Saccharomyces cerevisiae S288C: one gene and its partner. The main gene of each other region encodes a partner of the protein of the gene in region 2 in a complex. Each region holds a gene or a part of one and is shown on either strand. Other genes may lie near its edges. A codon is read from its position in the direction of its gene.

Evidence for each region.
Region 1: the proteins of NSE3 (region 2) and SMC5 are in contact, whole or in part, in a cryo-EM structure (PDB 8I13), measured with the Saccharomyces cerevisiae proteins. Residues at the interface, in NP_010574.1 of Saccharomyces cerevisiae: Asp159 (codon at 9,566), Asp160 (codon at 9,563), Ser215 (codon at 9,398), Asp216 (codon at 9,395), Gly217 (codon at 9,392), Ser218 (codon at 9,389), Lys219 (codon at 9,386), Thr249 (codon at 9,296), Glu252 (codon at 9,287); in NP_014608.1 of Saccharomyces cerevisiae: Lys232 (codon at 14,316), Lys233 (codon at 14,313), Lys915 (codon at 12,267), Glu956 (codon at 12,144), Lys957 (codon at 12,141), Pro958 (codon at 12,138), Lys959 (codon at 12,135), Asp960 (codon at 12,132), Lys971 (codon at 12,099), Asn975 (codon at 12,087), Ala976 (codon at 12,084), Pro977 (codon at 12,081), Leu978 (codon at 12,078).

The regions. Positions count from the first base shown.
Region 1 is NC_001147.6:258,210-274,931, reverse strand, and holds SMC5 (DNA repair ATPase SMC5), read right to left. Parts: upstream 15,010-16,722; coding exon 11,728-15,009; downstream 1-11,727. Other genes in the region: MIM1 (Mim1p), read left to right, coding at 579-920; ribosome-binding protein MDM38, read left to right, coding at 1,208-2,929; YAP7 (Yap7p), read left to right, coding at 3,562-4,299; YOL029C (uncharacterized protein), read left to right, coding at 4,512-5,117; GAS5 (1,3-beta-glucanosyltransferase), read right to left, coding at 5,291-6,745; SIL1 (Sil1p), read left to right, coding at 7,403-8,668; OPI10 (Opi10p), read right to left, coding at 8,763-9,503; glutamate--tRNA ligase MSE1, read right to left, coding at 9,847-11,457; YOL036W (uncharacterized protein), read right to left, coding at 15,902-16,722.
Region 2 is NC_001136.10:1,033,011-1,047,234, reverse strand, and holds NSE3 (Smc5-Smc6 complex subunit NSE3), read right to left. Parts: upstream 10,041-14,224; coding exon 9,129-10,040; downstream 1-9,128. Other genes in the region: mRNA-binding translational repressor SSD1, read left to right, coding at 1-1,595; SRP101 (signal recognition particle receptor subunit alpha), read left to right, coding at 2,224-4,089; HRQ1 (ATP-dependent 3'-5' DNA helicase), read right to left, coding at 4,274-7,507; RTT103 (Rtt103p), read left to right, coding at 7,726-8,955; inositol monophosphate 1-phosphatase INM2, read right to left, coding at 10,362-11,240; MGP12 (Mgp12p), read left to right, coding at 11,660-12,004; ZIP1 (Zip1p), read right to left, coding at 12,172-14,224.

The DNA of each region.
Region 1 (16,722 bases), on a different chromosome or scaffold from region 2:
TGATATAGCTGAGTGCAATGTAAACGATTTTGCTACCACTTGTGTAATGTAGAACAAGCTAACCTTAGCTATGTGTAAAAATTTTGTAGAGATGATTCAATAAATGTCACGAAAGGATTGTAGAAGGATAAGAAGCAAGAATTCACAAAAAAGAAATGCGTCACAGACAGGATTCGAACCTGCGCAGGTAAAACCCAATGCCTAATTGCTTTTCTGAGGAAATAGCAGGGCATCGCCTTAACCACTCGGCCACTGGGACACGATTACTTACAATGCACAGCAAGAGCACCCCAACAGTACTTTAAAAACTCTCCTCCAAATATGTCTGCAACGTGTACTATTTATTATAACGAAGATAAATAGTAATACCAATGGCCCATAAAAGCGTATTATTCCACTACCATCGGCCTCCCCTACCACTGAACAAGAGGAATGCGTTACGAGATGTAATCACTTATAACGAAGTGGTATATTCCGCGCCATAAGAAACAGCCATACACTTTACTTGAACAATAGAACATCACTGTAATATTAGAAACATCACCCCCCTTCTTACGAAACTGCCACAAGACAGAAATATGACAGAGGTTGTGGGATTCTGGGAGAGCGTGTCAGATGACGAATCAGAAGACAAAGACTGTATGGAGGTGCAGAACACAGTGAGTGCCGACGAGAGCCCACTTGTGCAGAGCCTTGTATCCTTTGTAGGCTCGTGCTCCATCAACCTACTTTTGCCCTTCCTCAACGGCATGATGCTCGGCTTCGGCGAGCTATTTGCTCACGAGCTCTGCTGGAGATTCAATTGGTTTAACCATAGAAACAAGGGGTATAAGGTGTACCCAGAGTCGCGCAAAATAGCAGCATTGAAAGAGATTTCAAGCCCTGGCACCCGTGGGAGGGTTGCGTCCAAGTTCCTTTAAACGATCACCAAAGCATTAGCAACCTACATAAATAAATACACACACACATACGGTAGATTATACGTAACCACATAACTGGCAATAGTTTCACAAGCCATAAAGCTAGCCACGGTATTACCCTCAAACGACCCCGTCTTGGGCGATAATCCCGCGGTGAAAAATTATTCGTTGAATCATCTCCAAATAAATGGATCAGTCATTGCCACGGTGATGAATATGAACAGCGCAGTGCATTTCAGGCAGCGCATAATATACGCTATCTCTATCACTACAGATAATATACTAAGATGTTGAATTTCGCATCAAGAGCGTCATGTGTGACAAGACGTCAAGCAAGCTTGTATTTTGTTAAAAATCAAGGCCCTAGATTAATAGCTTCCACTATTCCCTCGTGTCATTGGCCTTTGAGAGCGCAAGGAGTACAGCCCAACTATCCTTTATCTTTGAGATTTTATTCTACTGATAAGTCGAAAAGTGTTACGAAGCCCGTAGCTCCAACATCCACCGATGCTCCTGCCAAGCCCAAGGAGACGCTTATGGTCAAAGTGAAGCACGCCTTGAAACATTATGCTAATGGGACGAAACTTTTGGGTTACGAAATCAAAGTTTCTACTAAGCTTTTGATTAAATTTGCTCAGGGTTACGAGTTGTCTAGAAGAGAGAGGAACCAATTGAGGAGGACAATGGGCGATGTGTTTAGGTTGATCCCTTTTTCAGCGTTCCTTATTATTCCATTCGCCGAACTATTTTTGCCTTTCGCTTTGAAACTCTTCCCCAACTTACTACCCTCCACTTACGAATCCGGCAAGGATAAGCAAGCCAAGAGAAATAAGCTCATCGAGATCAGAAAAAAGACATCCGAATTCTTGCATGAGACTTTGGAAGAATCCAATTTGATCACTTACAACACCATTGAAAATGCAGAGAAGAAGCAAAAATTTTTGAATTTTTTCCGGAAGCTTTATTCTGCCAAGGAAGGTAAGATTATGACTTTCCAACACGATGAAATAAGCGCCATTGCGCAAATGTTCAAAAACGATAGCGTTTTGGATAACTTGTCAAGACCACAATTGGCAGCAATGTCGAAGTTTATGTCACTAAGGCCATTTGGTAACGATAACATGCTTCGTTACCAAATTCGTTCCAAACTAAAGGATATAATGAACGACGATAAAACTATTGACTACGAAGGCGTTGAAAGTTTATCGCAAGAAGAGCTGTATCAAGCTTGTGTGTCTCGTGGTATGAAAGCGTACGGTGTATCCAAGGAGGACTTGGTCGATAATCTAAAAGTTTGGCTAGAATTGAGACTGAGACAAAAAATCCCATCCGTCTTGATGGTTTTGAGTTCCACGTTCACGTTTGGAGGACTTCCAAAGGAGAACTATTCAAAGGCATTCTCGCCACTAGCTGAAAAAAAAGAAACAAAAAGCAAATATGACGACCTTTTGGATCTGTACTACGACGGTATATTACAAGTGCTAAGTTCCATTCCAGATCCCGTTTACAACGTCGCAAAACTAGATGTATCTGAATCGAAATCATCCGCTGCTGAAACTGAAGCTGAAAAGCAAGTTGCTGAAAAGAAGATAAAGACGGAAGAAAAACCCGAGGAAACTGCTATACCGAAGGAAGAAGCCACCGCAAAAGAGTCTGTTATAGCTACCACCGCTTCTGCGGTTACTCCTAAACTAGTCGTAGTTAATGAAAAGGCAGAAACAGCGAAGACAGAGGAAATATCTCAGGAAAAAGAGAACGCAGAGCCTACCGACTCTGCGGAAGCCACGGAAGCTGAAGAAAAGAAGACATCCGACGATAACGAGTTCAAATTGAACGTTTTGAAGGAGCAAGAAGAACTAATAAAGAAGGAGGAAGAGGAAGCTAAGCAAAGAGCTTCGAGAGAGCATGTGCCAGATGATATCAACCTAGATGAAGAGGAAGAAGCAAAATCTGTACCTCCCATTCCGGCCGATCAAGCTGCGAAGACTTTTGTCATTAAGAAAGATTGATATTAGATCAAAGCCTAAGAAAAAAACTAAAAAAAACTAAAAAAAAAAAGTCAATCGGTTCTCTTTTCTCTGACAACAATGGCAAAAGATCAAAGAGAAGCGTACGTCACGGCAAAACCAGCGACCCTTCAAAACTAAATTATTATGCATGTATATAATAGACACCCTATCTAAACTACCGCCTTATTTTTTTTTTTATACAGGAGCAAAGTGTCTTTTTTGTGATGGCCACGAGGGTCCTTTCACTCATGACTCCTTAATCAGCATCTTATGAGCTGGATTTTCATATATCGGCGATTTTTTTCATCGGTAATGCACGCAGTAAAGCTGCTCGCTCGAGAAAAATTAGTAATATATGGAAGAAGAAGCATAAGCATAAAAGAGAAAATCCGCTGCCCCACCGTAGAAAGCAAACAAGGCTATTGGTTATTCCTCTTTTCACCTGTACTTCAATCTGTAGCACATCATCATAAGAGGCTTGAAAGTTGCTCAAGAACAGTTTCAACGGTTTTTTCTTTTGAAATTTGAAAATTGCTCTTCGTTTGTTGAGCCGTTATCAAGGAAGTAAATCATCAATTAAAGAATATAGAAAGGCACAAAATTTTGTCATTTACGCACACTTTCAATGGATCATGAGACAACGAAGGTCTGTAGTAGCAGTTAGCGTAAAGCCCAAAGGCTTCAAATTGGGGCATAAACAGGGTTCCATGTCTACGACGTCTCCACCTCCATCCTCACCAGATGGAAATGTGAGTACATCAGGACCGTCAGCTATTAAGTTATCCAAGAATTGGGAGTTACCACAGCGCCTAAAACCGGGCCGCAAACCGAAATCCAAGCGCGGGGATGCATCAGCTAATAATGATGGATCGTCCAAGATAAAGAAGGTTCAAACTTCCAACCAGAAAGACCAAATGACCACAAAAGATCATGAGAACGAAGGCGCAAAAGGTCATGAGGGGAAATCTGATGATGAAGGCAACGGAAGTGGTGATGAAAACGGTGTCGATAGCGTGGAAAAGCGAAGGAGGCAAAATAGAGATGCGCAAAGAGCATATAGGGAACGCAGAACAACAAGAATCCAGGTTCTGGAAGAGAAGGTTGAGATGCTACACAATTTGGTCGATGATTGGCAAAGGAAATATAAACTGCTGGAATCTGAGTTTTCCGATACAAAGGAAAACTTGCAAAAATCAATAGCATTAAACAACGAATTGCAAAAAGCCTTGCCTTTGATTGTTAATACTCCATTTCAACAGCAGCCAGAAAACCCGCCAGACAATCCTATTTCGATATTAGAAATGGTAGAAAACTTTAAACCAATCGGCGCTGTCAGTTTAAAAAAAGGAAAGCTGAAGGCCCATTGTTAACATCTCATGTGCCCGCGGTATTAACAGACCAGTCTTTGTCTGAGATTGATATAGCCAACGATTATCAATATCTGAGCGGCAGACAGTTTAGTTCAACGAATTCATCGCTTGATGGCCATATTAATTCACCTCTGTCTTCATGCAGCAGCAGTATCAATGCATGTGCAGGCAGTGGCAACAAAAAAATAAAATGTTGTAGGAATAAAGATGCCATGAAACCAGTAACATGTTGCAACCAAAAGAATAACATAATGCCATCCTTAGTCCCCGTTTGCTGTTCAGAAAAGAAAATAGAATCCGATGCTAAGAAATCAATATCGAAATGCTGTGGAGACAAAGAAATCTACGATAGCGAGAATAGACCGATCACTAAAGAGGATGGGTCATGGATACCTGGAAGCTGCAAGCAATGTAGATCAGACCCCCATAGTAGGAATTTTTGTCAATCACTTTCGAATAAATGTAGTTCAAGCTCTTTCTCTTCCAACAGTGCGTTGTCACCGGATCTAAATGAACAACAAACTGACGTAAATTACAATTCAATCAAGCTACCCGAAATATGTTCCTGCAAGAATGCACAAATGAATGCGGCTTCCGATGCAAAGAGGTATCTGCCGATCAGTTACACATATCAAAAAATCCGTCAACATATGCAAAAAAATAAAAGTATCCAAGAACAACTAAATCCTGAGGATTCAACTTCGATCTCATCAGCGTTAGAGAACATTGCATCTGGATTGCACGTTCGTGGACAGAAAGTAGAATTGCAAAGCATCAAGGATGCATTACATAAGATGGACAAAAACGTCTTGGAATGATGTATTTAGAAAGAAAAGAAAAGTGGAAGCATAAATAGTGCATATAGATATAGGTATATATATGAATTTTTTAATAATAATATTAATGATGTTTTTTTATCTTAAGAACATTAAAAGTAAGCGGCGCTAACGGAATAATTAGAAACAATGTGGTAAAGAACGGGGGTGAAAACTCATAAAACCAAGTTATAAAGTTCTGCCAAAGCACGGAATATCAAAGGAATCTCAATAATTCCGGCAGCACCCTTTGATTTCGAGGACGATTGGCTGGACGAAGTAGCAGATGCGGCAGATTTTAGCAAGCTCGTTTCGCTAGCAGAAGGGGAGGAGGAAGATGCCTTTGAAGTCGAGGATGATGATTCAGAAGATGAAGAAGCGGAAGATGAAGATGAAGAGGAAGAAGAGGATGAAGAGGAGGTGTCGTCGTCTTCTTCGTCGTCATCGTCCTTAGCATCACAACTTTGTTGGGTGGCGATTCCGGTTCCCATAGGAGAACCTGCTCCAGATGTGAAGTAAGCAGAAGCAGCACTTGGCATAGCAGGCAAAGTGTTATTAGCTTCCCAGACACCCTTTTCATAATCAGGACATGTAGAATAGTTGTTGGAAGTACTGTAACCACCATTGCCTTCTGGGTTGGATACTTTGCTGTATTCATTTTTCAAGTTTTCAAAATCTGTCAATTTAGTGACCTTGTCACCATCAATTTGAACGAGCCCGTAATTGTTAGTTTCATTGGAATATTCGTAGACTAGCCCACCGGAGAATACAGAAGACATTTGAGTGGAATAGATAGCTTCAATTTCTGTGAATGGACGAGAGCTCTTGACTTGGTTACAACCAAATTCACTTAAGAAGACAGGAACGGAGTAATCTTGATATAGCTTCATCTTGGTGGAATAACCCGATACCACAAATGAAGATTCACCACACCAAGAATAGTCATTAACACCAAACATGTCGATTCTAGCGTCAGCTTCATCACCACAGTTAAAGTATTCAGCAGCCAATTGTCTGTTAGCGACGATATCAGCAGCCGAGTAACCTACCGGAATTTGTCTGTATTTTCTAGCCTTGATGTATTTCTTCATGTCCCTGACCACTGCCTTGACATAAGTAGCAGTGTTGGTAGTATTAACACTATTGATGACCTCGTTACCAGCGAAAAAACCTAGAACATTGTCGTAATCAGCAAAGGTATCAATGGTGGCAAAGACATTTTGTAAGTAGTCAGCGTTATAGGAGCAGGCTGGATCGTAACGAGAAATAGCACTCGTGGGGGTATTGACATCCAGGATCAAGTATATACCGTTCTCCTGCAATAGTTTCATACAATGGGAATGATCTTGCGAGTTATCCACAGTATAAACTCTGACAGTATTTATCCCTAGATCTTTCAGAACGGGGACGTCTCTGTCACAGACAGATGCGTCTGCTAAGGGATCAGTCAAGTTAGAAGAACCACCAGGCTGGTAATCAACACCACGGATATAAAACCTTTCACCTGATTCCGAATTAAAAAATGCATTGCCTTTAATTTCAATGGATGGTGTGGAACTGTTACTGCTGCTAGCAGCCTGAGCCAAACCAGCACTTAAAACGAAGGCACTTGTAAGAGAACGTAGTAACATAGCTATTTAGAGCTGTGTGTGTAGCGAGTGATATATAATATGTTTGTTACAGCCCACTGTTTACTTTTATATACGAAATGCAACACTGTCAACAAATCAGTTCAGGGACCTTCCTATTTATAGTATAAGCAAAATAAAAGTGAAAAATTTCCTGCGGAGTTTTTTTTCTCGAGAAATTGTGAACAAAAGAAAGCAAAGACACAGAAGATGATAAGAGAGAGAAACAACGAAGAAAGAACAACAATGTTGGGGTTCACCCGAGAGATATTGACATACTGACCTTAGAAAAGGCATTACTGAGGCTACTGACTAAAGCGCGTTACATAAATGCATAGTATATTTCTTGTTGTATACGCAGCGGCCAACTAGTGGCAGCAAGAATGTAATGAACGATTCATCTGCAGGTTTGGAGGCCGCAACTAGATCAAAACGTAAATAGCGGGTGAAGTGTTCTGGACGTTAGAAGTAACGTCCGCAGATCGAAGCTAAACACGAGATTAGATTTCGGGTAACGGAATTGTGATAATTAAGAAAGACCAGACTATGTGAAAAGGCCACGTAAATGATAGAGCACACATTAGCAACTATAATAGACTAGTTTTCGCATCGCTGGAAGTTCTCGATATTGAATATCACTTCCAAGAACGCAAACTTAGAATGGTCCGGATTCTTCCCATAATTTTGAGCGCCCTATCTTCGAAATTAGTGGCGAGTACAATATTGCATTCATCCATACACTCAGTGCCATCTGGAGGCGAAATCATATCTGCAGAAGATCTTAAAGAACTTGAAATTTCAGGGAATTCGATCTGCGTTGATAATCGTTGCTATCCTAAGATATTTGAACCAAGACACGATTGGCAGCCCATACTGCCAGGTCAAGAACTCCCCGGTGGTTTGGACATTAGAATAAACATGGACACAGGTTTAAAAGAGGCAAAACTAAATGATGAGAAGAATGTCGGTGATAATGGTAGCCATGAGTTAATTGTATCTTCAGAAGACATGAAAGCATCGCCTGGTGACTATGAATTTTCCAGTGATTTCAAAGAAATGAGAAACATCATAGATTCTAACCCGACTTTATCTTCACAGGACATTGCCAGATTGGAGGATAGTTTTGATAGAATAATGGAATTTGCGCATGATTACAAGCACGGCTACAAAATTATTACCCATGAATTCGCCCTCTTGGCCAACCTTAGTCTCAATGAAAATTTGCCGTTAACATTGAGAGAGCTCAGTACTAGAGTCATTACCAGCTGCTTGAGAAACAATCCTCCTGTAGTCGAGTTCATTAATGAAAGTTTTCCAAATTTTAAAAGCAAAATCATGGCCGCTCTGTCAAATTTGAATGATTCTAACCACAGATCCTCTAATATCCTAATAAAAAGATACTTGTCCATTTTAAACGAATTACCTGTCACATCCGAAGATCTTCCTATATACTCTACGGTTGTTTTACAAAATGTATATGAAAGAAACAACAAGGACAAACAGTTACAAATAAAAGTCCTGGAGTTGATCAGCAAAATTTTGAAGGCCGACATGTACGAAAATGACGATACAAATCTAATTTTGTTCAAAAGAAATGCTGAGAATTGGTCGTCAAATCTGCAAGAGTGGGCAAACGAGTTCCAAGAGATGGTCCAGAACAAAAGTATAGATGAACTACATACAAGAACGTTTTTTGACACCCTTTACAACTTGAAGAAAATTTTCAAAAGTGACATCACGATCAACAAAGGGTTTTTGAATTGGTTAGCGCAACAATGTAAAGCCAGGCAATCTAACTTGGACAATGGGCTCCAAGAGAGAGATACTGAACAAGACTCATTTGATAAGAAACTTATCGACAGCAGACACTTGATCTTTGGCAACCCCATGGCTCATAGAATAAAAAATTTCAGAGATGAACTCTGATTTCACTGTCATTGCATATATAGTTTAATATTAATAATATTTTTTTCAATTAATATTTCGTGAATCTTATTAGAGATATATTATATATCCGTGTCTAATTTTTAGTTACTTCATCCAAAAACGTCCCGTCGTTGGCCAGTCTATTTCTAAATTTGTCCCACCATGTATCAAACCTCTTGATGGGCACGTTTCCCTGAGCATCTAGGAACCCTGATAAATAGTTATATGCATGCTGAACGATTTTGGCGGCCAATTCTTGTGTCAATGAAGGGTAAACTTGTGCCAACTGCCCTGCCGTGGTAATATTTCGAATTATTCCTAAGTTAGGTCTTGACAAGATCAATGAGTTGTTCTTTTGTGCTTCGGCATTCATGCTGGCCTTCCACTCTTCTAATTTCATCATTCCTTGTTCTCGAGGCTCAATGGAAATACCAATAATCAATTCTGATATGTTATTACTGCTACTTCCATTGGTGTCAGTAAACGGATCAGCGGCCCCCGAACCATCATCTACATCCATGTCTATCTCACCTAATCCATCACTTGTATCTCCAGCGTCTTTCTTCGAGCTCGGTATTTGCACTTTGAATATGGCACTGGGTTTCTCACTGCTTAGGTACCCAAATAGTTTAAATTCTTCCTGAGGGCTAAGTTTGAAATAGACTGTAGCTATATAATCCTGAGGAAAGGTAACATTAGGTAATATAAACAGTGTTATATGCGAGTATAGTTTCGGTTTCGTTCGAGAAAGGACAATTGTATGCTGTAACCCATTTGAATTGGGGACTTCTACCGATAGTTGCAATGGATTTCCTGAGGCAATTGCAGCAAACATTTCTTTATTTTCTCTCACTCAAATATTTCTTATCAATCTCCGAATTTGCAAATTTATTAGACCACTTATTTTCGTATTTAAAGGGTGAGTCGAATTGACGTATTTTAAATAAAATGTAGATCTCTCCTTTTATCCCCAAATTTCGCTTTTAGTACCCGATTCCTATATAACTCTTCCAGAACGTTCGGTCGGCTTCATTAAGAAAATTCAATTAAACTTAATTAAACTTAATCAAGCTTAATCATAATAACAAAATAAACGTATACAGTAGTGGCTAATTACATTATGTATATGACGTATTTACATGACCCTATTGTATCGAAACCTTTTATTAATATTATTATTACTTTTTCTCTCTTTGCAAGAACTGTAAACCTTCGGATAATCTTTTGTTACTTTCCTTGATGCCCAAAATATCTATCATGGCTGCTATTTTGGCACCTGGGTGACATCCCGCAAGAGCAAATCTCATTGCCTGATACGTGACTTTCCTAGAAAAACCGTTCTCATAATACATCGTTTCGACCATAGATTCGACTTCTTGAGCATCGGTGCCCTCTTGAAACTGTCCAAGCTTCTTCAATAAGTGAGCAATGTGGCGGCTTTCGTTCTTGCTTAGAAATTTCGTGACAGCATCATTATCATTATATTTGGGCTTTTCAAAAAAATAATAAAATTCATCATGAAAATCGTTAATCCTTGATAGAGAACCACCACAGTTCAGTAAAATTTTAGCTACTTTCTCACGGCTTATGGTAGATGTGTTATATATGGACTCTAAAGAAGGCATAATGTCGTCGACAAGCTCCCTCAATGTAGAAGGATTAAGTATTCTTTTTTGCAAAAAATGCTTATTGAAGAACCACAATTTTTTATCATCGACTTTGGCATTTCCCTTCGTCAAACCATTCAAATTAAAAATGGTTTCCAATTCCTCCATTGAAAAACACTCATGCTTTTTCGAAGCCAGATCTCTTGGAGGAGACCAGCCAAATAGCGCACAAAAGTTAATCAAAGCTTCTGGCAAAACTCCCTGTCTTTTTAAATCCGAGATAGACATATCACCTTTTCTTTTACTCAATTTCTTATCACCAACCGTCGTCAATAAGGGAATGTGGATGAACTTTGGGCAAGCCCACCCAAATGCATTATATAGGGCGATATGTTTAGGAGTAGAGGGCAGCCATTCCTCACCTCTTATAACATGGGTTATTCCCATCAAATGGTCATCCACAACATTTGCCAGATGATAGGTTGGCAACTTATCCGACTTAACAAGGATAAGGTCATCGTACCGTTTATCGTTAAAGTTTACTTGCGGTTGAAGATTTATTTGTCCATGTAAAAGATCAGTAAACGTTGGATATCGTTCTGGCGATTTAAACCGCACAGTGAAAGGTATACCTTGCGCTAGCTTAGATTTTATTTCTTCCTCCCCTAAGTGTGCACAACATCGATCATAGCTTGCCATCGAAGGAGGTTTCAATTCCATTGCAGAGTGTCTCAAATCGTTCAATCGCTCCTTTGAACAAAAACATCTATACGCCTTCCCAGAAGATAGTAATATTTTTACATATTTGTCATATATTAGTTTCCTTTCACTTTGCTTTATAGGGGTTTCATCGTAGTTTATGTTACACCATTTCAGAATCTCGTAGATGTTTTCTTCTGCTCCCTCTATTAGCCTCTTCTGGTCTGTATCTTCTAAACGAAGCAAAAACTGCCCATTGGTGTTTCTTGCTAATAGGTAATTGTAAAGGGCTGTTCTCAGTGACCCCAAGTGTAAAAACCCAGTTGGAGAAGGCGCAAACCTAGTTCTAACAGGTAAAGAAGGATGGATATCTTCCTTTATTTTCTTGGATAACAGAGATTTCTTCAATGGTGAGAGACCTACGCCCTTTATTAGCTTCGAAGGTGAACAATAAGACCGTGTCGGTATTCTCAACATGATCATATTGTTATTTTATAGTTCTTCTGTACCAGATTAGATTTTTGTCATGTAGCGGTTGCTTGCTTTGGTGCCTCGAATTTAATATAAGAAATTAATTATTGCAGCTTTTCTTAAGCGCGTTCTATTTAATTAGTTCTTTATTTGGTGAAGCCTTACATTTGTGAGGTAAGACAGCTGACACTAGAAGACATTTTTGCTAGATGAGACCAAACGTCTTGGTTATAAACATGTTTACATCTATATGTGTATAATTAATTATGCAATAGTGAAAGATTAATCGAATGAGTAGTTAGAAGTTTCACCGAAATGTATCATCTTCGGATCCTCAGAAGGGTTTGGAATCCAAGAACCAGCCATGACACAGTGTATTCTCATCTTTTCATGATAATGCAAGCCAGTCAATAATTTTGGAGTGATTAAAAAATATTGAGAAGTGTTTTCGGCACACGCGTTCTCCACCATAGCTTTATGAACGATCCTTTCATTTCTAGAGTCCATACCTTGATTGATTTCATCAACCACTCTAAATGGTGCAGAGGTAAACTCTTGCAAAGCAATCATGTAAAGAACTGTAGAAACAGCTCTTTCACCACCTGATTGCGTGTGGGAATCTAACTTTTTTAAAGGTGCATTATCTCTGAATTTTACCATGATTTCTATCTTCCATTCAGCATAGTCCTTCGGCTTTTCTAGACGAACCGCACCAGCACTCCCAACATTGTTGAATAAGCGCGCAAATCTTGCAGAGATTTTTGATACAATATCATCTAATTTGGGCTCCAAAACTGCGTGATCTTCTTTTAATTTAGCTTTAATGGTCTCCAAGTCTTTCGACTGCTGAGGAACCGTGTGCTCCAACTCTCTCAGTTCGGCTGTGACTTGATCCAAAATTGTTACGGCTGACTCGTCGTGGTTTACCATAGCTATCTCCGATTCTAATTTATCGAGAACATCCTGAACGAATGACAGATTGAAATTCCCTTCCTCCTCGTATTTTTCTGCCACTTTATTCAATTTTTCCTTAGTGTCTTGGTCATAAGACCTGATTTCTCTCATCCATGATTGAAATTCAGGAGTGTCTCTCATTTCTTTTACGAACTTTTTCTTGTCTTCATATTGGCTCTTCAAATCAGCTTCCCTCTCATTGAAAAAACCAATTACGTCATTCATAGAAACATCCATATTTTGGGCTTCAAATTGAAGGATTTGAGTACTTATTAACTCCTTCTGACAATTCTTTAAACTCTTCATTGAAGAGGCCATTTTAGACAGCAAATGTCTTTGCTTGAGTAATAGTTGTTGGATCTGATCATCAATATCTTTAATCTTTTGAGATACGTCCTTTCTAGCTTCACGTTTCAGTTGATCTAATTTCTCTCTTAAAGTCTCTATTGTACTTTTTCTCATAGTGTACTTCTTGCGAATCTCATTTAATTGATGAGCTTCCCTATTAATATCGTCGTTTTTTGACGCCAACTCAGATAATTCGTGCCTATAACCACTTTTCTGGTTTGACAATGCATCTAACGTAGATTTTCGATCGTTGTATTCATTCTTTAAGTTGATAATTTCATTTTCAATTCTAATTTTCTGCTCATTTGACATGATTGATCCCTGATAAAAATTAGTTTGTTTAATACTAACGTCAGTAGGAAAGACCTGCTTACTACCATATGCTGATTGCTTGATATCGACTAACCTATTCCCATGAATAATCCTTTTAAAAAGAATTTTCCCATTCGGTCTTGGTGTAATCAACTTCTTTATCTGAGCAGGCGTCAATTCCCTTCTTGATACCGGTATAGTATGAATTTTGCTAGTTTGACAAAGCATTTTCATAACCCTCTTATCACCGGTAATAAAATCGGATAGATAACCCTCAAATCCCAGGTCCCTCACCGTTTCCGCTGGTACAGGAGGGGTGGTGTCTGCACTGGAGAGTTCTCTCAAATTAACCTTGAATTTGTCAAGAATTGGATTTGCAAATAGCTTGTAAGAATCAGAATCAACAACAGTCAAGGCTTTACTCGTATTATAATCCACACATTGTGCTAAATATGCAGCAAATTGAGCGTTAATGGCAGACACGGTCATTATTGGCGGTTCTAGAATTTTATCTTTCATTTCTGGATGCTCTCTAACCATCAACACAGCATCACGGACCTCCTTTAAATCCTGGTCCTGATTTAAGATACCGATTTTATCAGTTGTTGTAAGGGATTTGGTCTTGCTTTCAGCTTGTCTCTGTATGCTTCTCATCTCATGATTAATAGCGTTCGCCTTCGCATCAATTTCGGAAATAAGATCCCTAATTTCGCCTTCTTTATTAATAATTTCCTTTCTTTTAATGTCTATATCTTCAAATACGCTTTTCTCAGGAAGATGTGTTTGTGCTAATATTTCCTGACTCCTTAGAAAATCTTCCTTTGTACTAATAATGGTGGCCTGTAGTTTTTTGGTTCTTCCTCTATAATATTCGTTCTGGTTTTTCTTTTTGATGACCTCATCCCTAATAGTATTTAATTTTTCGAAGATTTCGTTGATCTTTTCTTTTGCTTTCAGGAACTCATCAGTTTTTAGGGAACACTTCTCTGTTAACTCTTCCACCTGATTTTCCAAAGTCTTCTTAGTATTTGCAAATGGTTTTTTATCCTTCAGTATAGCCCTTAAGTTCGCTTTCGCTCGTTCGTATTCTTCTTTATATATGTTTAGCTTTTCTTTATGGTCCTTTACTTTCACATAAGGTAATAGTTGGGAGTGTAACTCGATTTCACCCTTCTTATTTTGAAAATCTCGTAAAGATTCAACTGATTTACGTAGTTTATCACTTTCTTGTCTCAAATGAACAATTTTAGCTTTTTTAAAATCGAGATCTTTTTGCAAGCTTTGCTCATTTCCTTGTAATTCCCTTAGTTCATCCAACACATCCAATAAGCTTGCATCGATTGACCTTATAGTCTCTACTAATAATTTAACTGACTTCAAGCGAGCAAACTCCTCAACACGCTCTTGAGATAAAAATTGACAAAGATTATCCAACTGAATGTTCAGCTGAGCAACTAAAGTTTTAACTACACTCTCAGATACCTGGTAGTCATTTATTAGATAATCCGATCTCCTCTTGGATCTCGTAATAATCCTGGTAATCTTTATTGTTTCATCACGTGCGTCTATGTATTCAATATCAGTAACATTTGGTGAATTTTTCAAGGTGATTTCAATTTTTGAAACATCTTGACCATTTTTGATGAAATCTTCCACTTTTTTACTCCTACCAATATACTCGGGTTTACCAGCCAATCCTAAACACACTGCGCATACGAAAGTAGATTTTCCAGATCCGTTTGGCCCAATGATCATATTTAAAGACGGTGAAAGATTGAATTCGGTTAAAGTGTAAGTAACAAAATCCTGTAAACGGATCTTAATAATGCTGCCTGGTTGGAAGGAAGACAAGTCAGGTTTTGCGATTTTTACCCTTTTCGATCTTGGCTCTGTATCTTCTCCATGATGCGTTCTTTCAACATATCTGCCCAAATCTATTAGACTGGTCATGCTAGGGATATAGCTTTTATGTACCACGCCCTTTTATTTGATATACTTCCTTTAGAATTGCGTACACGTACTTGTGAAAGTAAATACCTATTATCGGCATCTTGTCATCGCATAAAAAGGTAATCCAACGCGAAAGTTAACGCCATAATATAGCCCAGTCATCCTGAACGGTCTACAAGATTAATAAGATCAGCTATGCCAGCTTGTTGAAATAATTAGTGGCAACAAGTGTGTTGTCAGACAAATGTGATTATTTACATTTACAAAGATAGAAAGGAAATATCAAAACTATAAGAGTACACTACGGGCTAGAAAAAAAATAAAGGAAATGTTTCTTACATTAGTATCAGTGTAGCGGTTCTGTAAAGGTTAATCTTTGTTTGATTCAATCACGAAAAATCTGCTGCAAATTGCTACCTCTTTCATCATTCTAAAGTAAGTCCTTCTCTTATTCCTAGATGTTCGAGCAATACCAATTAAACTTGGCACGATGCGTGCAATTAAGAGTAATCGGGCACTGCACTCCGACTGGAGTCCGACGAATATCGTAGTGATCTTTTTTATCTACAGTACTGGTTGCTTATATCTTCCAGTGTATATATTCAATGTGGGAAGGAGGGAAAGGTCATTTTGCTAATTTTCATTTTTTCTCGCCTTTTAAAGCATGAGAAGAAAAGTTGACCATGTGTGCCAAAAAAAAAAAAGGTAGGGCTACCATCCTAATTAGAGTAATTTAAGGAATTTATTAAAATGCAATGTTAACTTTTTATAGAGTGCGTAAATAACTATGTAATGGTAAATACATGGCATACAGTATATGCGTGTTTACCACCATATATACGTGTATACTTATATTTTGTCTGCCGTTATATATAGCCAAGACCTTTTTCCTTCATGGGTTGTTCAACTTTCCACGGTAAAATCGGACATAATCAGACCATATCTTATTCATGGAAATTCGTTTCTTTTTCAAATACTGCAGGTCCTTATCACTGCACCATCTACAAGATGCAAATTTTCTTTCCAAAACAGCATACCTTTCATCTTCCTTGCGTTGCTGCTGAGCCAGGATTTCCACGTATTCCTTGGCATTGAGCTTCATGCCTTCTTTGTTTCTTAAATTGGTAATGCATAATCCGATGGTAGATTGCGTTTGTAACGACGAGCGATTGATGCGATGAGTACCCTCTGTGACAGAGAGTACGGGAACAAAACTTTGTAAGGCTTCTTTATCCAGATATATTTCACTTGGCTTTGTTTGCTGTTCAGGCAGTACATTTTTTTTGCTTGAATTTTTAGACAGTATCTTTCTACTTGACGTTCTTTTAGGAACATTAATCTTACCTTCTTCGCGTAGTGGAGAGATGTCGTCTGTTGATGATTCTGGAAGAGATGTTGATGCTCGATTAAATGTACTCACGCCATCTATTGAAACTCGATCATTTTCTTTTGAGACTGGCGTTGTCGGATGTCCTCCCACGGTTGATAAAGAGGAAAACGACAATTCTGTAGGCCCCGTAGTCACCATAGATTTGGGTGATAAAGTGAGAATTTCCTTACTATTATTACTGTCGCTCAATATTCTAGTAAAACCTCTCTTTATCTTAGAACCTAGAGATGTCTTTCTGTAGACGTGTTCTGTGTCATTTGGAGTGGACACTAAGACCTCCTCCGAAGCTCGACTGCTATTCGCAAACTTGCTGTCCGAATTGA
Region 2 (14,224 bases):
GAAATGGTACCCTAGAGCTGGGTTGTCATGTTGTTGATGTGACCAGCCATATTGAAGAAGGCTCCTCTGTTGATAGGCGTGCGAGAAAGAGGTCCTCTGCGGTGTTCATGCCACAAAAACTTGTCAATTTATTACCACAATCGTTCAACGACGAACTGTCGTTGGCCCCTGGCAAGGAATCAGCCACGCTGTCGGTTGTTTACACTCTAGACTCATCTACTTTAAGGATTAAATCTACTTGGGTAGGCGAATCTACAATTTCCCCCTCAAACATCTTGTCTTTAGAACAATTAGACGAAAAATTATCTACTGGAAGTCCCACTAGCTACCTCTCTACTGTACAGGAAATTGCTAGATCATTTTATGCTAGAAGAATAAATGATCCAGAAGCTACATTACTTCCCACCCTGTCCTTATTGGAAAGCTTGGATGACGAAAAAGTTAAGGTTGACTTGAACATCCTGGATAGAACTTTAGGCTTTGTTGTAATTAATGAGATTAAAAGAAAGGTCAACTCCACTGTTGCAGAGAAAATTTACACCAAACTTGGTGATCTAGCTCTTTTGAGAAGGCAGATGCAACCCATTGCAACCAAGATGGCGTCATTTAGAAAGAAAATTCAAAATTTTGGTTACAATTTTGATACCAATACGGCGGATGAATTAATCAAAGGGGTGCTAAAAATTAAAGATGACGATGTTAGAGTCGGAATTGAAATTTTACTGTTTAAAACCATGCCAAGAGCTAGATACTTTATTGCTGGCAAAGTAGACCCGGACCAATATGGGCATTATGCCTTGAACCTACCTATCTACACACATTTCACAGCGCCAATGAGAAGATACGCTGATCATGTCGTTCATAGGCAATTAAAGGCCGTTATCCACGATACTCCATACACCGAAGATATGGAAGCTTTGAAGATTACCTCCGAATATTGTAATTTTAAAAAGGACTGTGCTTATCAAGCACAGGAACAAGCAATTCATCTATTGTTGTGTAAAACAATCAACGACATGGGAAATACTACAGGACAATTATTAACAATGGCTACTGTCTTACAAGTTTACGAGTCCTCCTTTGATGTATTTATTCCAGAATTTGGTATTGAAAAGAGAGTTCATGGAGATCAACTACCTTTGATCAAAGCTGAGTTTGATGGTACCAATCGTGTCTTGGAATTGCATTGGCAGCCCGGCGTAGATAGTGCAACTTTTATACCAGCAGATGAAAAAAATCCAAAATCCTATAGAAATTCCATTAAGAACAAATTCAGATCCACAGCCGCTGAGATTGCGAATATTGAACTAGATAAAGAAGCGGAATCTGAACCATTGATCAGCGATCCATTGAGTAAGGAACTCAGCGATTTGCATCTAACAGTACCAAATTTAAGGCTACCATCTGCAAGCGACAACAAGCAAAATGCTTTAGAAAAATTCATTTCTACTACTGAAACCAGAATTGAAAATGATAACTATATACAAGAAATACATGAATTGCAAAAGATTCCTATTCTATTGAGAGCTGAGGTGGGGATGGCTTTGCCATGTTTAACCGTCCGTGCATTAAATCCATTCATGAAGAGGGTATAATCTCTTCTACCAATATCGTCATTGCTGTTTTTCTTGTTTTTCACTTTCGTTCTTTGGATTGTGCTTCACCCCTCAGTATCCCTTCCCTTTGTTTTTATTTCCTGCGAACATTAACAACTGCATGAATTTTGTACTTCTCCTTTTAATCCACGTTCCGGTAAGGCATCATCCAAATTTTTTTATTCGACCTCGTTAAGTCATATATTTTTTCCCAAAAATACATAAAACAATAATGCAGCCTTCTTTTCAATATTTACAACTTTTCAATTTATATTGTCTTTTGTTATTTATACTCTTATATATTAAATTTATTCCGTTACTAAATACCCTTTTGCTGTACAAATATCATCAAAGAGAAGTACTGAAAGCTTACTTTTTATGCGCTGGGTAATTTTTCCGGAAACAATAACGAAATCATCGTCGAGCAATTTTGCTCGTACTTCAGAAACTACTGCGTAAACATTTGAGGTCGTACAATAAGTAGATAGAAATAAATAAACCAATTTTTCGTCAGCGTTTAATCTGTAGCCAAAGATTTGTGGTATTCTCACAGTTTGAATAATATTCAGCTACTTCATCAAGTAGTTTTTTTCAATAGGAGATTCACGGTTCAATAAGTGCATTGATTATGTTCGACCAATTAGCAGTCTTTACCCCTCAAGGTCAAGTACTTTACCAATATAACTGTTTAGGAAAAAAGTTTTCTGAAATACAAATTAACAGCTTTATATCCCAGCTGATTACTTCCCCAGTAACTAGAAAAGAAAGTGTTGCAAACGCAAATACAGACGGATTTGATTTCAATCTTTTAACAATCAACAGCGAACACAAAAATTCTCCTTCATTTAATGCACTATTTTATTTGAATAAGCAACCAGAATTGTATTTCGTAGTGACTTTTGCCGAGCAGACTTTAGAGCTTAATCAAGAAACTCAACAAACACTTGCACTGGTGTTAAAACTCTGGAACTCATTGCATTTAAGTGAATCCATTCTAAAAAATCGTCAGGGCCAAAACGAAAAGAACAAGCATAACTACGTCGATATTCTTCAGGGAATTGAAGACGACCTGAAGAAATTTGAGCAATATTTTAGGATAAAATATGAAGAGTCAATAAAACAAGACCATATCAATCCAGATAATTTTACCAAAAATGGATCAGTACCCCAATCGCATAATAAAAATACCAAGAAAAAATTGAGGGATACAAAAGGTAAGAAGCAATCTACAGGAAATGTTGGTAGTGGGAGAAAGTGGGGCCGTGATGGTGGCATGCTTGATGAAATGAATCATGAAGATGCAGCCAAATTAGATTTCTCATCATCCAACAGCCACAATAGTAGCCAAGTAGCTCTAGACTCCACTATTAATAAAGATTCTTTTGGGGATAGAACAGAAGGAGGCGATTTCTTAATCAAAGAAATTGATGATCTTTTGTCTTCTCATAAAGACGAGATAACTAGTGGGAACGAAGCTAAAAATTCTGGATACGTCAGTACAGCTTTTGGATTCCTTCAAAAACACGTTCTAGGTAACAAAACGATCAATGAAAGTGATTTGAAATCTGTATTAGAGAAGTTAACACAACAATTGATAACCAAAAATGTAGCACCAGAGGCAGCAGACTATTTAACACAGCAAGTCTCACATGATCTTGTAGGCTCAAAAACTGCAAATTGGACCAGTGTTGAGAATACTGCTCGTGAATCTTTAACAAAAGCATTAACTCAAATATTAACGCCTGGTGTATCCGTTGATCTCCTCCGTGAAATTCAGAGCAAAAGAAGCAAAAAGGATGAAGAAGGTAAATGTGATCCCTATGTGTTCTCTATAGTTGGTGTTAATGGTGTTGGTAAGTCAACAAATCTTTCAAAGCTAGCGTTTTGGTTACTGCAAAATAATTTCAAGGTCTTAATTGTTGCTTGTGATACGTTTAGGTCTGGTGCAGTTGAGCAACTAAGGGTCCATGTTGAAAATTTGGCACAGCTAATGGATGATTCACACGTTCGTGGCTCCAAGAACAAAAGGGGTAAAACTGGTAATGACTACGTTGAACTATTTGAAGCTGGTTATGGTGGATCTGACTTGGTAACCAAAATTGCAAAGCAAGCCATCAAATATTCTCGTGATCAAAACTTCGATATAGTGTTAATGGATACTGCCGGGAGAAGGCATAATGATCCTACTTTAATGTCGCCATTGAAGTCTTTCGCTGACCAAGCCAAGCCAGATAAAATCATTATGGTTGGAGAGGCTTTAGTAGGTACTGATTCTGTCCAGCAAGCCAAAAATTTTAATGATGCCTTCGGAAAGGGAAGAAATCTTGACTTCTTTATTATCTCCAAGTGTGACACAGTTGGTGAAATGCTGGGTACTATGGTAAATATGGTTTATGCTACGGGGATTCCTATCTTATTCGTTGGCGTGGGACAAACCTATACCGATTTGAGGACATTAAGCGTAAAATGGGCTGTTAATACATTAATGTCTTAAAAACTGTAATATCATAGTATATATATATATACCACAGACAATGTTATTCAACAATAATAAAGTGTCTTTTTTTCTGTGCATCAACAAGGTGACAGAATGTTGATGTAACTTCTTTCCACCAAGTGAATCTACAAGTAGTAGAATAGAGTATTTATATTCGGTTTACAAACTACAAATAGCGTGCTCATATCTCTTTTTTAATGATTTCATTTGTATGAGTATCGTCTTTCGTAGCTCTTCTAACGTCAATAATCTTAAAATCATCTGAAAAGTTGACATGCTCTGACACAGGAATAACAGTCTCTACTTTTATCTCTGGCATATTTGGCTCTGGACCATCTTTGATAAGATCTATAAAACTATCTTCCGAGTGACCTAGAATACAATGCAAAACGACTTGGGCGCCAGGTTTCGACAGGACCAGGCTGTTTTCCTTACAAAAAGAAGCCGCTACACAGTCAGGACATCCATCGCTGCATGGGCATTCTTCTATTCTTCTTAAACTAGACTCTATAATATCATCAATATGCTCAAACGCTTTAACACACAAGCCAGACCCGTACTTACCGCCCTTGGAATCATAGAATATTAATCTAGCTGGTCGCTTTCGTTTAGTTTGACGTTCTGCAAATTCCTTTTCCGGAGCTTTGCATTCAGTTTGTATTTCATCCACACCCGCCACTATAAATCGCGGTAACATACCCATAATTGCATGTTGCGCCCCGTGAATAGCTCCTGCTACATTTAATTGCTTCTTTTGGCAAATTTCTAAGGCATATTTTGGCATATCTATCCATAATCCTTTAGAATTGATTATTACAGGAGGGTTATGGGTTTCGATGGCATCGATGATCCTCTTGTACTTGTCTACTTTAAAAAAGCCAAATACAATAATTGTAGTCTTGATCTTACCAAAGTAAACAGGAACATCACTATTCCTTAAAGAGCGTATAAGTTCAATTTCCTGTGGATCTACATCTGTAAAGTCTCTTTGGTTGGTTACCCAGTCAACATCTACTCTTTGCACTTTAGCATATCTTTCATCAGGATTAAACTCCTTCACAAGGTAGGGATAGCCTTGGTGAATGAATATACCGCCATCATATAAAGTAAAACTAGTCCTGGATGCTTCTATTTCCTCAATTATTATATTTCTTCCATTTGTTATATCCACTACGGCAAATTGATCTTCTTCTCCGCCTCTCAAAGATACACACTTGGACGGCCATGGTAAAAATCTATTACTGGCGTGGTACCCATCTTGATTGTGATGTAAGCGTTCAACACAGATTTTGCGAAGATGAGATTCAGTAAAGTATTGCTTGTCACGTTCAAAATTTATTGGCAGTTCGAAAGCAGCGCATTGTATGTGTCCTTCCAGTATCAAAATGTTATTGAAATCAAGAACCAAATCTTGATAAGATTCGAAATTATTAACCTCCAGCAAGGATTCTGGATGAGCAACATAATGTTGATCAACAGGCGAGTCACTTGCAACCACGAGGGTTAAAGAATCATTATTTCTTCTTCCAGCTCTACCACTTTGTTGATGAAAATTCGCCATTGATAGTGGGAAACCGCACATCAAGACTGCGTCTAGTCCACCGATATCAATACCAAGTTCTAGAGCATTGGTAGATATGACAGCCTTTAAATTTCCGTGAAACATCTCACGTTCTATTTTACGTCTGTCGGAAGCAGAATAACCACCCCTGTAAGACATGACTTCTGTAACCAGATCCTCACGCCCAGTTTCAATAAAAATATTGCGAACTTCTTTCATCAACAATTCACAAACACGACGAACGTAGCAAAATGCTATGGTTCTTACGTTGTTCAATATCAATTGTACCAATATCTTTGCACTCTCTCTAATGAAATTTTCTCGTTTACGTTCGTGTTGAGGTAAAATTGGAGGATTCCACACCACTAGATGCTTAGCACCTGTAGGTGAGCCATCCTCGTGTATTAGCGTAACCTCATTAATTCCAAACATGTCCTTCATATGTTGTACTGGAGACTTTAAAGTTGCAGAACATGAAATAAATTGTAAACCACTATTTTCGTAAAAACAGTGGCACAGTCTTAGTAAACGTCTCATCACTAATGCCACGTGCGATCCAAATAAACCCTTATATATATGCAATTCATCGACCACCACTAACTTTAGATGGTACAAAAAATGTCTCCAATTTGCATGATTAGGTAAAATGCTGGTATGTATCATGTCAGGATTGGTAAAAATAACTCTAGCATTTTTACGAATATAAGCTCTTTCCTCTGGCTCCGTATCGCCGTCATACGTATCAACCACGGCATTCTTTAGCTCGGGGATCTTTGAAAGTATTACCTTGAATGCTCTTTTTTGATCTTGTGCCAGGGCCTTTGTTGGAAATATATACATAAACGTTGATTCAGGATCCTTTAAAAGAAGATCGATAGCTGCTAGTTGGTAAATAAGGGATTTACCTGAAGAGGTCGATGTTGTAATAATGACGTTTTCGCCTTGATGAAGACTGTTTATCGCATCTGCTTGATGGCTGTAGAAATTTTCGTGTTCCATACCCTGATATACTTCCGGTGCAAGCTCAAAACAGAGACCTTTATACTTCGCTGTTCTTGATGGTATTGTAAAACAATGCTTTATCTGAGAAGCGTAGAATTCAGTACTTTTTAATTTCTCAATCATTTGAGGAATTGTTGTTATCACTGAATTATTGGAATAATTGGGAATGCTCATCTCATTACTTTCTTGCTTCGCCTTCATCATTGCCTCAATAGGATCCTCATAATCTCTCTCCCTTGGAATATATTTCTGCGCTAGATTTGTTAACTCAGAAAATGGGTCAAGGTTAGCCTTTTCCTTTTCCAGGATAAATTCCCGTAGTCTGGATTTAAAGAGAGCTTCCCTTTTAGAAATCATCTTTTTCATTTCCTCCGTAGTATATGTTGGTATCTTTATTTGAGAAAATCTATCACTTGCAGACCATGAGCGTTGCATTGTACCGTCTATAAATTCAAATATAAGTAACTGAGTAGATTTTTGAGTCTGATTTTGGTCATCAACGTCCTTCAGTTCAAATATGTCATTTTCCTTCTGCTGAAAGCCGCCATTATTGAAGTCAAAAATCTTAGTTTCAGTATAAATTTGGTTCTCATCAATATACTTGAAAACACATTCTCTTGGCATTAGCGCCATAACCATGGCTAGGTCTTCTTTCGTCACAGTTCTTTTCAAAGCAGTTTCTATAGGTCCACAAAGTGTTTTAAATGTAGGCACAACATGCTTTCTGCAAATCAAAAAGGTGTAAAGAGTATTAAGGCGGAAAAAAAATTGTTCAAAATTTCTAAAGGCATCGGTCTTTCCACTCCCTTGACCTGCTGACTTCAGTTTCTTTTTGATAGGTCCTTCCTCCATTTTTCCTTCTCAAATGAACATTTCTTTTCTACGACCTTAACCATCTCAATATGTATAACGGTTCTGTTTTATAACGAAAAATGAAAAAGTTATTTTTTTCCTTTAAAAATATATAAACTTGAAAAGCCAACATAATAATATAAGTACAAGCGAAGAAGGTTTTAACGAAGAGGTAGAAAATTTGAAGAAAGCAATAATCCAAGATTAAAATAGACGGTATGCCTTTCTCTTCTGAGCAATTCACAACCAAATTAAATACGTTGGAAGATTCCCAAGAATCTATTTCCAGTGCCTCAAAGTGGTTGCTTCTACAGTATAGAGATGCTCCCAAAGTGGCAGAAATGTGGAAAGAATACATGTTAAGGCCTAGTGTAAACACAAGAAGGAAGTTATTGGGTCTTTACTTAATGAATCATGTTGTTCAACAGGCTAAAGGTCAAAAAATTATTCAATTTCAAGATTCCTTTGGAAAGGTGGCAGCAGAAGTATTGGGAAGAATTAATCAAGAGTTTCCGAGGGACCTAAAAAAGAAGTTGTCAAGAGTTGTGAATATACTAAAAGAAAGAAATATATTTTCCAAGCAGGTAGTCAATGACATAGAAAGAAGTCTTAAAACCGAGAGCTCACCAGTGGAAGCGTTGGTGTTACCCCAGAAATTGAAAGATTTTGCTAAGGACTATGAAAAATTAGTGAAAATGCACCATAATGTTTGCGCGATGAAAATGAGATTTGACAAATCATCAGATGAATTGGATCCATCCAGCTCAGTTTACGAGGAAAATTTTAAAACAATAAGTAAGATTGGGAACATGGCTAAAGATATAATAAATGAATCAATTCTAAAAAGAGAAAGCGGTATCCATAAACTGCAAAGCACACTGGACGATGAAAAAAGGCATCTAGATGAGGAACAGAATATGTTAAGTGAAATAGAATTCGTTTTATCTGCTAAAGACCCATCCAGATTAAATAAAAACGTTGATGAAGACAATATTATTCCTACGTATGAAGTGGGGGATGGAGATGACGATGACGATGATGGTGATAATGATGATGATGATGATGATGATGATGATGACAAAAATTACGATGATAGATCCAATGACAGCAATTATGGCGTTACTAATATTAGCACCACAGATAAGAAGAATGAAGTTGTAGAAAAGACAGATAGCGAACATAAAAACTCTACTCATAATCCTAGTGACAATCAATTTGGTATGAAACGAACACATGATATGATAGGTCATGATGACGCTAATGACATACCGGAAAAAAAGGTTCATCTTGATTCGAAGACGAGTGAAGATGGTACTTTCAACAGTGAGGATGGACATTATGAGTTAGATATAGAAGGCCACGTCGGCGCCCAAACCGACGAAGGTGTTGAGAATTCCGGAGGGGTTTCTTCTAGTATACAAGACTTGTTAAGTAAGCTTGCAAATTAATATGATGGTTGAGTAAAAAGAAAACAAGGAGATAACTTATACAAATATATAGTAACCCGTTTAAGTCCAGTCTTTTTTCGTAACTATTTGCCCATAGTTTATTTCGTATTCATCTTCACTATTTCCTCGACAAAAAAGATGCGCACCTAAACTACATGGACACCTATGCAATGCTATATAGAATATGAATCGCCAATGCTTTTTATTATATCATCGTGCAAACTTTTAGTCTGCTCCTTTTCAAGGCCCATGATTTCTTGCACCAATTTTTCAAGAGACTCTAGTCCAAGCTCAGCCTGAGTTCTTCTACCTATCCTGTATGATATCACTTCCCCGTCGGTATCGGATTTCTCCTCCAATCTGACTATATATTCGCGCTTTTCTAAACTTTTTATCAAATCTTCAATAGTAATGTTCAGTATAGCAATCTTTGAACCATCGCTTGGAATGCCAAATGTCTCTAGAAATTTGATCAATTCCTGATGTAATATGTTATTCTTAGAGAAGAAAACAATGCATAAAATGACGCTCAAAACACCCTTGTAAACAAGATCTCGATCTGTACTCAACTTGCTTTCTAAGGTATTGGAAGTTCCTGAAGCTATATCGTCACCAATATACTCTCCGGTAACTATTAGCTCTTCATAAGTGTGAGCGCTTTGTAAAATCTTGAAATCGTCAAAATTTTTTGAGTGCGGGACATTGTTTAGCAAGATAAATTTCTGGGCTCTATGTCCCAGTGGCTCAGGCATTGATTTATTTGTATTGCTATTGCTTCCATTACCGCCAGCGTTCATATTATTTTTTGACGGCAATCCTTGTAATTCAAACCCATATACGTTATACAGTATAGCATTTATGTCCATAAACATTTTACTAAAAGACGGTTTTGCTATGTTTTCCTCGCGAGCAGCTTCATGTATAACAGATTGTAACTTGTTTCTTGTTATGATCGAATTTTGAGATTCTCCTCTCGATAAAATATACCTAACCATTTTTCTAGCTACAGGATTCTCTTTAACGATCTTGGCCACGGCTAAATCTTCTGTTAAATCCACATCGCTGTCATTATCTATAGAACTCATGCTAATGAGAAGCTTATGTTTATCGAACAACCTTCCCTTGTAGCATACTGATATAGGACCCCTTCAATCGAAGTTGATAATAAGCGCATTACTCTTCATTGAAATTTTTCTTCACGTATATCGCGCTGTTAAAGGAGAGGGCCGCATGCATGTAATACTTGCTATTCTTGAGTCAGAAGCCCACACTAAGTGACCTGTGAAATCAAGTTGCTGCTTCAAGATATCGTCCTGTACTGGAAAAAAATACTAGTAGGAATTGCGTGAAGTACTATATAAACTTTTCTTAGATGTAGCTTATTTAACGACACCTGAGGGGGGCATTTAGTATTCTAACTCACCCGCAACGTGAGGCCAAAACGATTCTGCAAATCGCTTCTGCTCCATCGACTCACATCCACCTCTAATAGCCAAGTAACATCTTCTGTCTAATGGAATGTTCCATTCTCCACAATTTCCGCCAACCATTATTCCTCCTGCTTCCTCAAGAATACACCAACCGGCACAAACATCCCAAGCCCAGCAGCCACCTTCCCAATAAGCATCAAGCATGCCGCTCGCTACGTAGCATATGTTCATGGCAGCACTTCCTGCACTTCTGAACCCGTGAACAAAGGCGCCGGACTCACTTAGTAAGTTTTTATAAGTATTCATTTTCTTATCAAAGTTTCCTTGGGAACCTTCAGTTCTTTCCGAACCTCCTTCTAAAGCAATTAAGGATTTTTGCAAAATCAATGGCCTTTTTGAAACCTTTATCTCCTGATCATTTAAGAAAGCTCCATTGCCTTTGGAAGCATGGAATAGTTGGTTTAAGTGAGGATTGAAAACCACACCAACAACCGGCTTCCCCATTTCAGCTAAACCTAGAGATGTACAACTATAGGGGTAACCGTGAATAAAATTAGTAGTACCATCGATGGGATCAACAATAAATGTAGGGCCGTTAGTTATTTTCGTGACACCTTTTACATAAGTTTCTTCTCCGATAAATTTGAAACTGGGATACTTGGCCGTTAAATTTTCCTTGATTATAGATTCAATTTGTTTGTCTAAAGCAGTTACCAAATCTACGCCATTTGCTTTATCATCATATGAACAAAAGTTTGTTCCTGCGTGCGATTTTACGAGAGGTCCTATTTTACTCCTAAGTAATTCAATAAATGTGTTCTCCACTTCCTCTAGTACTTGCCTCGTTAATACCATCGCTTCAATCTAAGTTTACTTTACAAGGGCTTGTGGAGCTTCAACTTCACTTATTCTCTATATTGTTTTCACGATTTTTTCTCCCCACGATTTCATATGTAATGAAGCAGGGTGCTTCACGGCGTTATCACTCGGAACACTGACGTTCTTTATTAAGAATTACCGTTTTAAGGGAAATAATAAGAGGTCACTTAATATGACTGTGAGAATCCATTTTTGTAGTTTTTTAGTTACTGGCTTTGGAATGTCAATATAACTGTGATTGACTTCCCTTTTTTTCGCTTTATGGGTCTATGATGTGCGCAAGTTGTTACCTTTCCGTAGAGAGTTCGGAGTTGATGCATTGTAAAGTTTCGTTTAATTCATAACAGAAATTCGTAATTATTCAGTAAGACATAAAACTTAAGGAACATATCACCATGTTGAGAGCGTTCCGCTGTTCTATACATACTTCGAGGGTATTGTTACATGATGCTGGAGTGAAATTAACTTTCTTCTCAAAGCCTAATTGTGGGTTATGCGATCAAGCAAAGGAAGTGATAGATGATGTATTTGAAAGAAAGGAATTTCATAATAAAGCAGTTTCACTAGAGATAGTCAACATAACTGACCGAAGAAACGCAAAATGGTGGAAGGAATATTGCTTCGACATACCAGTACTTCATATTGAGAAAGTTGGTGATCCTAAGTCGTGCACCAAGATCCTGCACTTTCTTGAAGAAGACGATATCAGTGATAAAATAAGGAGAATGCAATCTAGATGACCTCTTTTGTTTTTACTAGAGTTACAACACTGTAAATATTTATAAGCTATGAATAAGTATATACCTCAAAAAACTATATCTACGCTAATTTTACTATGCATACTTCTTACGCAGGGAACAAAATGAAATGTATTCGCACAAAACGATTTCAAATTTTCCATTATCCTCTATTTCCTTCTCCTTTTCTTGCTTATTTTTAATGACTGGTCTTCGTCTTCTACTAGTAGTAATTTTTTTCTTGAAGAAATTGGAGGTTTCATGCAATTTGAACCCTTCTTGATTTTTCCTCTCACTGGTTTAATTTGGATTGGGGAAGGGTTGGTTAACTCTAGGTCGTCATTTGATGATGAAGAAAGATCGAACTCATCGTTAAATTTGGATGTTTCTTTGGATGAATTAATTCTTGACTTACTTATATGATCCACCTTAGGACACTTTTTCATAGGAGAGTGAATGGCAGCAGAGTTATTAGGAAATAAGTTGGACGTCGTAGCATTTTTTTTGGGTGAATCTGATGGTTTAGTAAAATTTTGTGTACCTTTTTTACTAGGCTCGTTCCGTTTATGGTTTTTTATCTCTTCTAGCTCTTTAATCTTCTGTTCTAATTCCCTCTTTTGCGATTGCACCTTTTGCTGTAAATTTTTGGTGACTTCTTCCAAACTTTCGAGGTTATCTTGAAGTTCTAACTTTTCAGCTGTTATATCTTGCTTCTCCGATTTCAGAACTATCACTTGCTGTTTTAGGGTTTTTACATCGCTTAGTGATTCTTCAACACCAGTTTCCTTTTTTTCTAAACAATTTTTTAAGTGCCTATTCTGCTCTTCAAGCTCCAATTCATGAGCCTTCAGTTGTACTACTTCGACGTTTAGCTTTTGTAGCTGCTCATTGTTCTTTTGGAAAGCCTCCAGTTTGGTTGTATGATCCTTCTGTTCATTTTCTTTGATTTCTACTAGCTGTTGAATTCTTTGCTTCAGAGTGTCGTTTTCGGAAACTAAAGCCTTCACAATTTCATTCTGAGAAGATATTTTATTTTCGTAATTTGATTTTGTTGTGATGTTCAAATTGTTGAGTTTTTCTAGTTGATCCTGGACTTTTTTCAGTTCATTAGAAAGGTTTTCATTTTTTTCAGTTAAACTTTGTTCTTTGCCAGAAATTTGTGAAATTTCGATATTCTTCGCCTCCAACTTTTTGACCAAATCTTCATATTGTGCTTCTTTAGTACCAAGAGAGCTAATAATCTGATTTTTTTGTGAAGACAAAGTTGACCTTTCACTCTCCAAATGTTTTATCCTTTCTTCATACTCATTCGACTGAACTATTTCTGCCTTATATGCCTTCACCAAGTTTTCCAAACTCGCGTAATTTTTGGCTGTTTGAGACGCATCATCAAGAAGCTCTTGCCTTGTGTTATTCATTTCACTTACCAAAGCAGTTTGAATATTCCCTGATGACGTTAATAGTTCTTCTTGTACTCCCATTATAAGTCCTTTTTGCGTTACACTCAGCTCATTTATTGTTTTTGCCATTTCATCCTTACTGGATGACATTTTTTGTTCAAGATTTTCTTTGATATCTTCATATTGCTGCTTTAGCATGGTCTCTGTATTACTACTCAACTCTACAGTGGTGTTCCTCAAGCCTACGTTAAGGGTATCTTTTGCCACATCGAAGTGCTTTTGTAATTTTTTTTCAAACAAATCATGAACTCTTTCTTCGAATTTGTTAAATTGCAGTAAATGGTGTGCTTTATCTTCTGAAAAGAAATTCTCAATTGATTTAATCATTTCTTCTCTATTTTTTCCCATTTCCTGTATTAAGGAACTGTTTTTGATTTTTTCTTCGCTCAACTGACCTGAACAATCATCTAGTTCTCTTTTCAGGTATTCAATCTCTTTACCTTTTTTCATTAATTCTGCATCCGCCTCCTTTTTGTTCTTCCCTAAATCATTTATTGTTTTGTTCAAGTTTTCAATACTTGTCTTAAATCCGCTTATCCTTCTCTGATATAGTTGGTGGTTTTGTCTTAAATCTTTCAATTTAGTTTCTTGATTATTCTTATGGCTCGTCAACGTTGCAATCCTTTCTTGAAGAGTTTCTAAACAAGATTTATATTTTCCGACTTTTTCATTGATCTTATCAGAATTGGAAGCATACGACTGTAGTCGAACTTTCAACTTTGCATTATCCTGTTGCTGCTTTTGTAGCTCTTGCTTTAAATTT